Drosophila melanogaster: one gene and its partner. The gene in region 1 interacts genetically with each later gene. Each region holds a gene or a part of one and is shown on either strand. Other genes may lie near its edges. The genes, in order: Trc8 and CSN6.

Region 1 (7,262 bases):
TGGGAGAAATCGGAGTTGAGCGTTGATAGACGATACAAAGTGCAGTTTCCTGCTAGACCAAAGATATTCTCGCTGTGCAGTTGCAAGTGCAATGAAATCACACGTAGACGGCTGAAATGAAACTGCGATTGGAGCCGCAGCCGTTGAAAAAGTGGGTCTAAATCGGTGGTAAATCGCCGAGGAGCGGGGGGGGGGAGACCATCGACACTTTGTACGTTGTTGTGTAAAACGATTGGCGCGTTAATCAACGTACAAATTTCCGACTTATATGGCCAGCGAATTAAATCGTTCCCCCGAGATCTTGGACTCGCCTGGCCAGACAACCTGGCCAACCAACTCGGCCAACAGCTCAGGCGTCCTCCTGACAGCTGCCGATTAGAACTGGAGCGATAAATTATACAATTGCCGTGCGTGAGACCCGCGAAGAGAGCGGATCCTGGATGCTTGGAGCCATCGAACTGGGCTCCCAGTAGCCCAGCGATTCCCCCGGCTCATTGCGCTGACAATTACACTGATTATGTTGAATATATGAGGCCCATATTGGGCGGCCAGTGCCTCGGGGAGTGTTAGCTATTCGTCCACGTCCTGCCAAAATGGAATTCAAATCGCCAGTGCGCACATTGCAGCCCCACGAAGTATGCAACACAAAACGCCAGCCCAAAACTTCAGAAAACTATGCAAATTAGCGGAATAAATAAAAACGAATATTGCATAAACTTTAGACACTCTCAAAGTTGAAAATGATCGTGGTTATCTAACACTAATTTGGGTGAATTTTTACTATAATATAATAACAATAGTAATAGTGAATGTATCATTACTACTACTACAACTAAAAGAAGTACTCGTAGCTCACACAAAAAATTCGACAAACATGCATTCCTCGTCTGTTTGTTTTGTTATGACCTGTGCAGTTTGTTTAAAATTCTTGTGGCGCGGCATGAAAAATCAATTATGTTAGTTGAACTTTCCTAGCTAAACGCTAAACAATTGCGCATAATTACGAGCGTTGCGTTGGGGACGAAACCAAAACGAAACCCAAATGCGGACTGCATCGCATTTGCCGTTGCCGTTGCCTCAATTTGTGCATTTGCATAGCAAAAAGGGTTGTGGATTTCGGTGGGGGGAGTGGGGCTTCTTCCAGGGGCTGTGTGCCACAAAACAAGAAAGAACAACAATTAAGGTGGCAAATGGCAAAAGTTAATGGCCGAACAATTGAGGAAATTCACGTAAATGACTTCGGGGCCCTGCGGATACGGATTGGATTGGAATTGGGCGCATTCGCAAGAATGCAGGAAATGTTCGCTTTTAGAACTAGAAACTGCGGGCATTTCGGGAAATATGAGCAGAGGAAATGTTTTAAGGGGTTTGCTCGTTCCTCTGTAAGCATAATGTTAAATGAAATACCTTACGTAATCGGATATTCTAGCCTGCTAGTTATTACTTTTTGGATTCAGCACAAATTTAAATTTCGTAGACAGCGCGCCAAGTTAACAGCAGCACTAGTCAACACTGGACATATCAGTTAACAGCTCTGTTAACACCAGCCTAGGCTGTATATTGAGTGAATGTAAAACTGTAACTATTAGAAACTAAATAGTAAATGCAGTTAAATGTTTCAACAATAACTGAAGCAACAAGTCGTAACCAAATTGCTACCCAAACCTCAATCGGCTTCAAGTTAAAGTAAACTCTGCCCAATAGTGTCTCTCTATCGCACACAGAAGGCTAGACCAGACCCTTTAGAACGTAGTTTTTGAACAGAATACCTAAAATTACCAGTACCCCAGACCGACACGCAGCAACACGCGCCGTTTCGCGGCTCAAAGGCAGAGGGAATTTTCAAAAAGCGCGCCACACGATCAGCTGGCAACGACAATCGATAGTCCGGCGAAAGCAGGGCCGCGGGGCAGCACTGGCGACCGCAGCGATAGGCAGCAGCACCAATCGATAGATGGGCCGCTGAAGAAGGAGGAGAAGCAGAGGAGAAAAACAAAAACCAATTGTGAAAAGTGTAAAGTTTAGAGCGCAGCGCAATTGTGTGGCCAAAAGCGGAGCATAAACGAGCAGCCTGCCGCAACGACCTTTTCCACGACGCGCCAGCGGGAATTTGCACCTGCTGCATGCGAACGCACACACACACGCACCCACACACTCACGCAGCCAAATCGTCATTCCGTCGTCTATTTTTTGTTTTTTTGCGAAATCCAAGACGAAGGCGAATCCACAACAAATGCAGATTGGAGCTCGATTGGCTCGCGATTAGTGCCTAGTCACGCGGGATCAGCAAAGCAAAGCGAGGAGGCCAAAAGCCCGGAGAAGGATACGGGATACGGTTACGGATACATATAGGGAGCCATGTCCGTGCGGACGAAGGTTCTCGGCCTGGTGGACGTGATGATGCGCGTGCCACCGGTGATGGTCATCGATGAGATACTAAAGATGGACATGGGCATGCAGTCGTGGCTCTATCCGGACAAGGACAAGGCCAGTGGCGCACTTGCTACGCCCACAGAAGCGCCAGCGGTGCCATCCGGCCAGGATCCGTTCACCAGCATAAAGGAGTTGTTCTCCCACATGACCACCTCCGCCCAATCTGTGCTGGAACAGAGCATCGAGAAGGCCTCCGAGGCGGCCAAAACGCACGGCATGCTCAGCTCCGGTTTCAACTCGCTGATGAACGAGCTGTCCAAGGACCAAACACTGGCGGATGTGCTCAGCACCACCACGGTCAAGTTCGTTTTATGCGTGTTCGGTGAGTCATCTACAGGGGTTGCGCTTAGAACGGTCACATCTATATATCTGCTTAGAATTCTAATGCTCAGCATATAAGGTCAGGGATGAGATTTAACTACATTTAACTACACGTCATGGTCAAGGATTAGTCAGTAACTTTCATAATAACTTAGATATGAGTTAAATTGAGATAACAAGTAATCGCAGAATCGAATATAATGCTTACTCAAGCAAAAAGGCCATGTATGTATATGAATGAATAGTTAGTTACCCCTTAAAAAGCGTGAATTGCAAGCTTGAGCATTCCCATTGAACCCAAAACGTAAACACAGGCAATTAAGTTATTTCGAGTTCATTGTTTTCGATCTGCCTGCGAAGTCATCCAGAATTCCAAGGGCCGCTTATTGGGCGCACTTTGAACGCCAGCGAAACGTAGATATATGCCTGACTCACAATCTGTGTGCTTTCTTGCAGCTTTCCTATCCGCCGCGTGCATCTTCATGCTGTGGACCCGGCACCTGGTGATGGTCTACATGTTCCTCACCTCGCTGGGCCTCACCTTCCTGTCCTACTGGTCGAACGTGAGTGCGCTGGCGCTGACGGAGCGCAGTCCCAGCATGGTGGAGGACCTCATGTCACTGAACACCACTAGGCTGCTGGACTCGGGCGGGGTGGTCATGTCGCTGGCGCCGCATCTGATGGCCCAGTGGTTCATGGGCATGCTGTTCGCCTACATTCACCTGGGACCGAGGTTCGAACATGTCCAGAGATCGATGCCCATCATCTTCGCTAGTCCAATTCTGTTGGCCATGCTGCCGCTGCCGGCGAAGGTGGTGCAACACCTGCCCGTGGTGGCCGTTTTCACGCCCATCATCCTCACGAAGATCACGCTGATGCAGAGCGCCATGGAGGCCAGTCGCACGGTCTACAACGGATACCAGTACGCCATGAACTTTGTGTCCAACTTTGGACTGTCGGCGCTCATTGAAAACGAATGGCAGAGGCTCAATGTGCCCAACGTTCTGAGGGTTTTTTGGACCATCAGGTGGGTTTCGTTTCCGAAGCGGTTCATTAATTTATGTTAATCATGCACGTGGAACATTCTAATTCTTGCATTTGGAGCGTTAATGTGTCAATGGAACAAGGCCATCAATCACAGAATTGAATATCCATTCCGAGACTTATGTTATTAATGGCCGAAGCAAACGGATTAACTGGTTTAAATGCATAATGATCGAATAGAACACCCTGCTTTTCAGACTAATCCAAGGCGGCTATGCCCTGGCCACGACGGAATCGGATGAGCCCCTGGATCTAATGACGGCCACACAGAAGCTGCTGGTCGACGGCTGTGAGACTATGACGGCGGTGCTGGGCATGACGGGCGTCATCTCGATGTTCTGCCACTACATCGGACGCGGCTTCCAGTGGTACCTGCTCACCTACGACGACGAGGAGAAGTCGCTGGGCACTGTCTCCGCAGTGCTCTTCTACATCCTCGCTCTGCAGACGGGCCTGACCTCACTGTCGCCGGACAAACGCTTCATCAGGCTGTGCCGCAATCTGTGCCTGCTGATGACCGCTCTGCTGCACTTCCTGCACAACATCGTGTCGCCCATCTTGATGTCGCTCAGTGCGGCACGGAATCCCTCGCGGAAGCGCCATGTGCGCGCCCTCTCCGTCTGCGCGTTCCTCGTGGTGTTGTCAGTGTCTCTGCTCTACCACCTCTGGTCGCAGCAATCCATCTCCACCTGGCTGCTAGCGGTTACCGCCTTCTCTGTGGAGGTCGTCGTCAAGGTGCGTGCGAATGCGATATGTACGCTTCAAGAGCTACAGCTACTACTTCTCCCGCAGGTTCTCGTTTCGCTGGCCACCTACACGCTCTTCCTGCTGGACGCGCGTCGGCAGTTCTTCTGGGAGAAGCTGGACGACTACCTGTACTATGTGCGCGCGTTCGGCAACTCAGTGGAGTTCTGCTTCGGCATCCTGCTGTTCATCAACGGTGCTTGGATTCTGATCTTCGAGTCTGGTAAGTTGGAGCGCAGCGTGTCCCGTCCTTGTTACATTAGCACATCAGTAAGCGCGAGTGATCATCACCGCATTCCATTGGCATCTGATCTAGCCATCTCGATATCATCGAGCCCATATTGTCCGCGTCCAGCTTTTCTGTTCTATGTGTGCATGTAATATTTTTATTTGGTTGATTTTGTGTACCGATAACTATAACTTGATAGCCCAAAATGCTACAGGCGGCGGCATCAGAGCGATCATGATGTGCATCCACGCCTACTTCAATATCTGGTGCGAGGCGCGGGCGGGCTGGTCGGTCTTCATGAAGCGGCGTTCGGCGGTCCACAAGATCTCAGCCCTGCCAGAGGCAACTCCCGCCCAGCTGCAGGCATTCGACGATGTCTGCGCCATCTGCTATCAGGTGCGTATTGTATTGTATTGCATGCAATATTGCACGTGACTCAACTATCGTTTTGCAGGAAATGTATTCCGCCAAGATCACGCGGTGTCGCCACTTCTTCCACGGCGTTTGCCTGCGCAAATGGCTGTACGTTCAGGATCGTTGCCCCCTGTGCCACGAGATCATGATGTACACGGACAAGGCGGATGAGAATGCGCCGGAGGCGGAGCCAGCGCCAGCTGCCCAGGCCGAGCAGCCGATGCGGATATACCCGCGAGACGTGAGTAACAAATGGGGATACTCTGTTGTTAGTCTCAATGTACATCTATTCCCTTGAACATGCAGGACGCCAACAACGCAGCTGCGCAGCGACGCTCTCCGGAGCGTGCTCCAGTCGAAGCATCAGAACAGGCGCCCGCCACCAGCTCCTCCAGCGCAGCGGCGACAATCGGGGCGGAGGCAGTGTCGGCCATCGTGGAGTCGGCAGCGGCTGTGGGCGAGGCGCGTTCGCTGGTCAGCGTAGCCAGCAGCAGCAGCGCCACTCACCGAATCAGCGCCAGCGGGAGCAGCGACAGCAGCTACATGACCGCATCCGCCCAATCGCCGCCGCCGACGGCCACCTCGGCTGCTGCTGTGGCCACGGCGGCGGCCAGCAATACGACGCACATGTTCCGGATGTCGCAGGACCAGCAGTAGTCGCATATAGGGTAGGCTAGGACCGAATCGAACGGAACGGGAGCGCTCGGCGTACCTTGCGTTTCTTATATATATATATATCTTACGACTTGGAAACGTTCTGTGCGTTAGTGTACTTATGTATAAATGCAAATCTTTGTAGCGACCCAAGGCTTCTCTATTCCCCCTGCCCAAAGAGCAATCTATTCGTAACACACCAGCACACCAATGCCCAGCACTCGACCACAGCACCCACCTTCGATCCTATATCGTCATAGGCACAGACATTACGTATGTATAACTCACGCAGCTATGCTTAACTAAATTATATACCATGCATATAATAGCTGAACGCTGATCGGCAATGAGACGATAATTCAAACGGAGATGATCTACATATGTACGTTAAGTTTATGGTAAAAAGTCGATTCAAAAATGTTGAAACATACACACACAAAAAAAAAATTAAATTAGCATTAAGTTTGCAATGGATGAAAGCAGTGTAAAAATCATCAGCAAAACGCTAAAACGCAAAAACGATAAACATTTTATGTGGTGAAGTCTGAAAATGATTTAATCAAGTTACCAAGTAAATCTAGTTAAAAACAAAACACGAATCAACGCGGATTGAAATGATTAAAAAAAAAAAAAAAATGATTTAAAAACGAGAGCAAGGCGAAAAGTTGCGTTGTATAATTTTGTAATGTAAAAATAACTTGTATAAGCAAATCCTTGTTTTGTTTTTATTTAAATTACCTATGTACGTTTATTTAGATTTAAAGTAATTAAACGAAAGAAGCGGAAAATACAGAAAACATTAAAACACTCTTATTGTAAGCGAAAACACACAGAAACATTGCTTCTCCTCCGGCCCTGTTGTGGGTAAATCCCATCCAGAGCTCTGCAACCGGGTAAGTGCAAGCTACCAATCCTCTCTTGGCTTTCAGCTCTGAACCTCAGAGGCTCAGTTGAAAATCAAATCGTTGTAGTTGCGGAGCAGGTGATAGGGAGACACACGGCAGCAGGTGGTGGTGCGCACCACGGTGATGCGATCGGCACGCTCAAAGTTGGCCTTGACCGTCTCATAGTAGCGACCATCGCTGGAAGCGAAATATTGATGTTAATCCCGCATAGAAATAGGAGTCTGATGTAGACCCACCTGAGCACCATGCAGCGCAGCTTGAGGCACTTGACGCGCAGAATATCGATGGCCTTCTGGCTCTTGTCGGAGAAGCGCAGGTTGTCCGGATCCCAGCGCAGCTCCAGCCGCTCCAAGTTGCCGCAATTCGAGGCGATGGTGTCCATCAGCTGGTCCACGTGGATGTTGACGCCCAGCTTCTCTGCGGTGCCCATAACAATGATCCTGCAGGTTAAGAAAGTTCAGCTCATAATAAAATGTCTTTTCATTCGATGACCAATAGTGTCGCCTACTTGCAGTTGC
Region 2 (3,869 bases), 6.9 Mb from region 1:
CGCGCCAAGGGGTCGCACAGGGGCCAATCGGAGCCAGCTTGTTGGACTGGGCTAAGCATAGCTAGTCAGCAGCTAGTTAATAGCCTCATATCACACTGACACTCCGGCTAATTCCAATCAATGTGCGCACATTGTAGCCGCACTGAGTGCTTTTTGATTGCCCGCCCAGCTCAAGGGTGCTCCACTGCCAGCCGTTTTATTAGCAGCATTCAAAGAGCTGTAACCCGGACTGCAAAAAGTATAAGTTATGACTCGGCAGTTAGGGAACTGGCTAATTGAATGACGTTACAACTTCCGTAACGAGACAAGCTCCACTCAATGCCCTTCGACAGCGCCAATGACCATAAAGAGGTGGGTCAAGTTGAGCTTTGATTGCGAGCAAGCCGCTCGAAGGAGGCGTGTGCTCTCTCTTCGGAACTTTCCCAGAATTCAAGCGTAACAAGTCTGTTTGCCATATGGTTCCCACAACCTTATTCTTAATATGTGTGATTAGACAAGACAACGTTAATCTGCTTGGACGCACGATAAAAATTACATCAACAATTAGAAAACAAGGTCTAGCTGTGCAACCTACTATAACTAGGGTATAATGAGTATATGATCTCTGTAAAATTCATATTATTTTTCCCTTTTTTTTTAGGCCCAGTTCGTGCTGTGCATCTTCCACACCCTCCGCGCCCTCTTCAGCAACCAGTGCCAGTTCTCCAAGTTCATCTCTGCGCTGCTCCTATTGAATGCATCCATTTTCTTCTGCCTCTTCATGAACTTCTACATGCAGAGCTACAGGAAGACCAAGGCGGCGCAGCAACTGCAGCAGCAGCAGCAACAGCAGAAGCAACAGCAGCAACTGGATGCCACGCCCTGCAAGGCGGACAGCAACAATAACACGGCGATGCTGGCGCAAAAGCTGAAAGCCAACTGAATTGAAAATCGAAAGCAGTGAGAAAAGTGCTTCCAGGGATTGCCCAACATTGGGGGGAACAAATTTTACATAAACGGACCAGATTGGTGATGGCAACGGACGGAACGGAAGTAGTTTTGGTACAAAGGTTTCAACTAACGCTAAGCTAAGCTTAAGAGCCATAAATACACGAGCGTGCACGCACACACACACACAACCACAGAAGAGAACGAAGAAGAGGAAGTCCGCCTTCCGATGATCGATCGATCGAGCATGGGGAACACGGGGCGTATGCGCAACATCAATTATAACTTGGCGATTATCCCCTCGCCAGCTTCGCTTGATTGCTTCGCTTCGCATCGCATCGCATTCTCGCCATCTGTGGCTGCATTCGCATGTGTAGAACCGTACAACAAACTGGGTCAATTTTCGAGATCTGCCTAATGTGTAAGTCGCCTAATTCTAGAACCTCACGAACGAAACGCGTTTAGTCTTTAATTCCCTTAGGCTAAGTGATTATTGTAATTGTAATTGTGTATAGACGATTTGTAAATAGCCTGTTAAATGTTAAATATTTGTAGTCCTAAGCCAACTAGTCTAACTTACAAAATTCGCACGAACAAATACGGCGAGCACGAAATTAAAAGCCAAGACAAATAAAAACGAAGAAAAGATAAATAAAATAAAACCGAAAACCAACCAACTGGGTTTCAATATGTTCTAAATTCACAGCGGAAAAAACTGAGCTGTATATTGGCAGGGTCTTTCGGTGCGAAAGAGATAAATAAATTTTAGAAACATATCAATTTTAGAAACTTCCACAAACGAATCTAGTGCATATTAAAAATATATGTAACCGAATTGACTAAAAATGCTTTAATAGAAATATATATGGTTAATTTGGCGCATAATTAAGCTAACAGGAATTACAAAACATAAATTCAAATATAGTACTCGCTAATACTATAATCGAGCCGGCAACGCCGACGTTCAGTTTAAAAAGGTTCGCGCCACTGCTTAGACTGCATAAGGTGTGGTCACACCATTCTGCTGTCCCGATAGATAGCGATAAGTAATATCGTACTACTGAGAGACCACCAATAACGATAACGACAGCTTATACCGGAGCTTGTCAAACAAAAAGAAGTAAAATTAAGTTTATACCGCAAACTACGTGTAAATAAAGGCCCCCCGACAGCATGGAGCAAATGGAAGTGGACGTTGACATGTCGGCCAAGCCCAGCACATCGTCCTCCGCCGCCGCCGGGAGCAGTATGGCAGTGGATAAGACTGCGGATCAAAACCCACAGCCGCAGGGAAACATAATGGCTGCAGCGGGCACCAGTGGTTCTGTGACCATATCGCTGCATCCGCTGGTCATAATGAACATCTCCGAGCACTGGACACGCTTTCGTGCACAGCACGGTGAGCCGCGACAGGTGTACGGAGCACTGATTGGCAAGCAGAAGGGCCGCAACATTGAGATTATGAACTCGTTCGAACTGAAGACGGACGTTATTGGCGATGAAACAGTGATCAACAAGGACTACTACAACAAGAAGGAACAACAGTACAAGCAGGTGGGTGTCCAAGCCTCTACATACGCTGCTTTACCAGCTGTTACTCTTTTTTCCCCAGGTGTTCAGTGATCTCGACTTCATAGGCTGGTACACAACCGGCGACAATCCCACTGCCGATGACATTAAGATCCAAAGACAGATAGCCGCCATCAACGAGTGCCCCATCATGCTACAGCTGAATCCGCTCTCCCGCAGCGTCGACCACCTTCCCCTGAAGCTATTCGAGTCCCTAATCGATCTGGTGGACGGCGAGGCCACCATGCTGTTCGTGCCCCTCACCTACACACTGGCCACCGAGGAGGCGGAGCGCATTGGTGTGGATCATGTGGCGCGCATGACCTCGAACGAGTCCGGCGAGAAGAGCGTGGTGGCGGAGCATTTGGTGGCCCAGGACAGTGCCATTAAGATGCTAAATACACGCATCAAGATCGTGCTGCAGTACATACGCGATGTGGAGGCCGGAAAGCTGCGGGCCAACCAAGAGATTCTGCGAGAAGCCTACGCTCTCTGCCACCGACTGCCCGTCATGCAGGTGCCCGCCTTCCAGGAGGAATTCTACACGCAGTGCAACGATGTGGGACTGATTAGCTACCTGGGCACGCTGACCAAGGGCTGCAATGATATGCACCACTTTGTGAACAAGTTTAATATGCTGTACGACCGCCAGGGATCCGCGCGCCGCATGCGAGGTCTCTACTATTGATATATGCAAACAATCTATTAAAGCTTCGGAGATAAATACACATAATCGTACGATGGGTGAATGCGGTTTTATTTCAGCTGCCGCTGGGCAGGCTACATACGTATACGGGTGGCATCAAGCGATATCACTTTCTTCCTGAGCTTCCAGCTCCTCTTGCTTCGTAAATTCAATTCAGATGCACAGACAACATTTCCTAGACACTAAATTAGGTAATTTCGCAGCGGAATTAGTGGTTGTAGTCGTCCAGCTTGATGCTGGGGGCATACTGCTGCAAGAACTCCACCTCCAGCGGATGCATCTCCTTGGCGGGAATGATGAGCGAGTGCAGCGGTCCGCCCAAATCGGTCGAGCGCATCTCAAGCAGCGTGCCAACGGCAATCTGCTGCGACTCCTGGCCAACACGGGCCAGTCCAACGCACAGTGACTGCTCGTTGAGCACTGTGTTCTTCTCCAGCGAGTCCTTCTTCTCCACAATGGACAGCAACTGATGAGCCGCCTCCGCCACGGTCATGAAACGCGGTGGCATGTACTCCTTGCGTTTGCGCATCAAGGACTCCGGCGTGGGCTCCTTCACCTTGATGTCCAGCAGGCACAGCGTGTGCATGTTGTGCAGGCGATTCAGCTTGATCTTGTCGTAGAAGCTGTCCGGCTTCCATGTCTCGTCCCAGTACGGAATCGAAACGGT

Evidence for each region.
Region 2: of Trc8 (region 1) and CSN6, a change in one rescues a mutant of the other (synthetic rescue), as found in Drosophila melanogaster (one study listed by BioGRID).

What each region holds. Positions count from the first base shown.
Region 1 is NT_033777.3:29,498,222-29,505,483, reverse strand, and holds Trc8 (TRC8 ring finger protein), read left to right. Parts: upstream 1-1,934; 5' UTR 1,935-2,358; coding exon 2,359-2,755; intron 2,756-3,210; coding exon 3,211-3,781; intron 3,782-3,995; coding exon 3,996-4,533; intron 4,534-4,590; coding exon 4,591-4,765; intron 4,766-4,970; coding exon 4,971-5,167; intron 5,168-5,225; coding exon 5,226-5,426; intron 5,427-5,491; coding exon 5,492-5,842; 3' UTR 5,843-6,459; downstream 6,460-7,262. Other genes in the region: FipoQ (F-box involved in polyQ pathogenesis), read right to left, coding at 6,786-6,921, 6,981-7,184, 7,253-7,262. UniProt on the Drosophila melanogaster protein: Plays a role in growth inhibition that is dependent upon COP9 signalosome subunits CSN5 and CSN6. May modulate signalosome levels or compartmentalization. Probably functions in the same or a related pathway to VHL during early midline development.
Region 2 is NT_033777.3:22,578,795-22,582,663, forward strand, and holds CSN6 (COP9 signalosome subunit 6), read left to right. Parts: upstream 1-1,978; 5' UTR 1,979-2,100; coding exon 2,101-2,481; intron 2,482-2,539; coding exon 2,540-3,184; 3' UTR 3,185-3,239; downstream 3,240-3,869. Other genes in the region: CG33110 (uncharacterized protein), read left to right, coding at 641-922; Dph5 (diphthamide methyltransferase), read right to left, coding at 3,411-3,869. UniProt on the Drosophila melanogaster protein: Component of the COP9 signalosome complex (CSN), a complex involved in various cellular and developmental processes.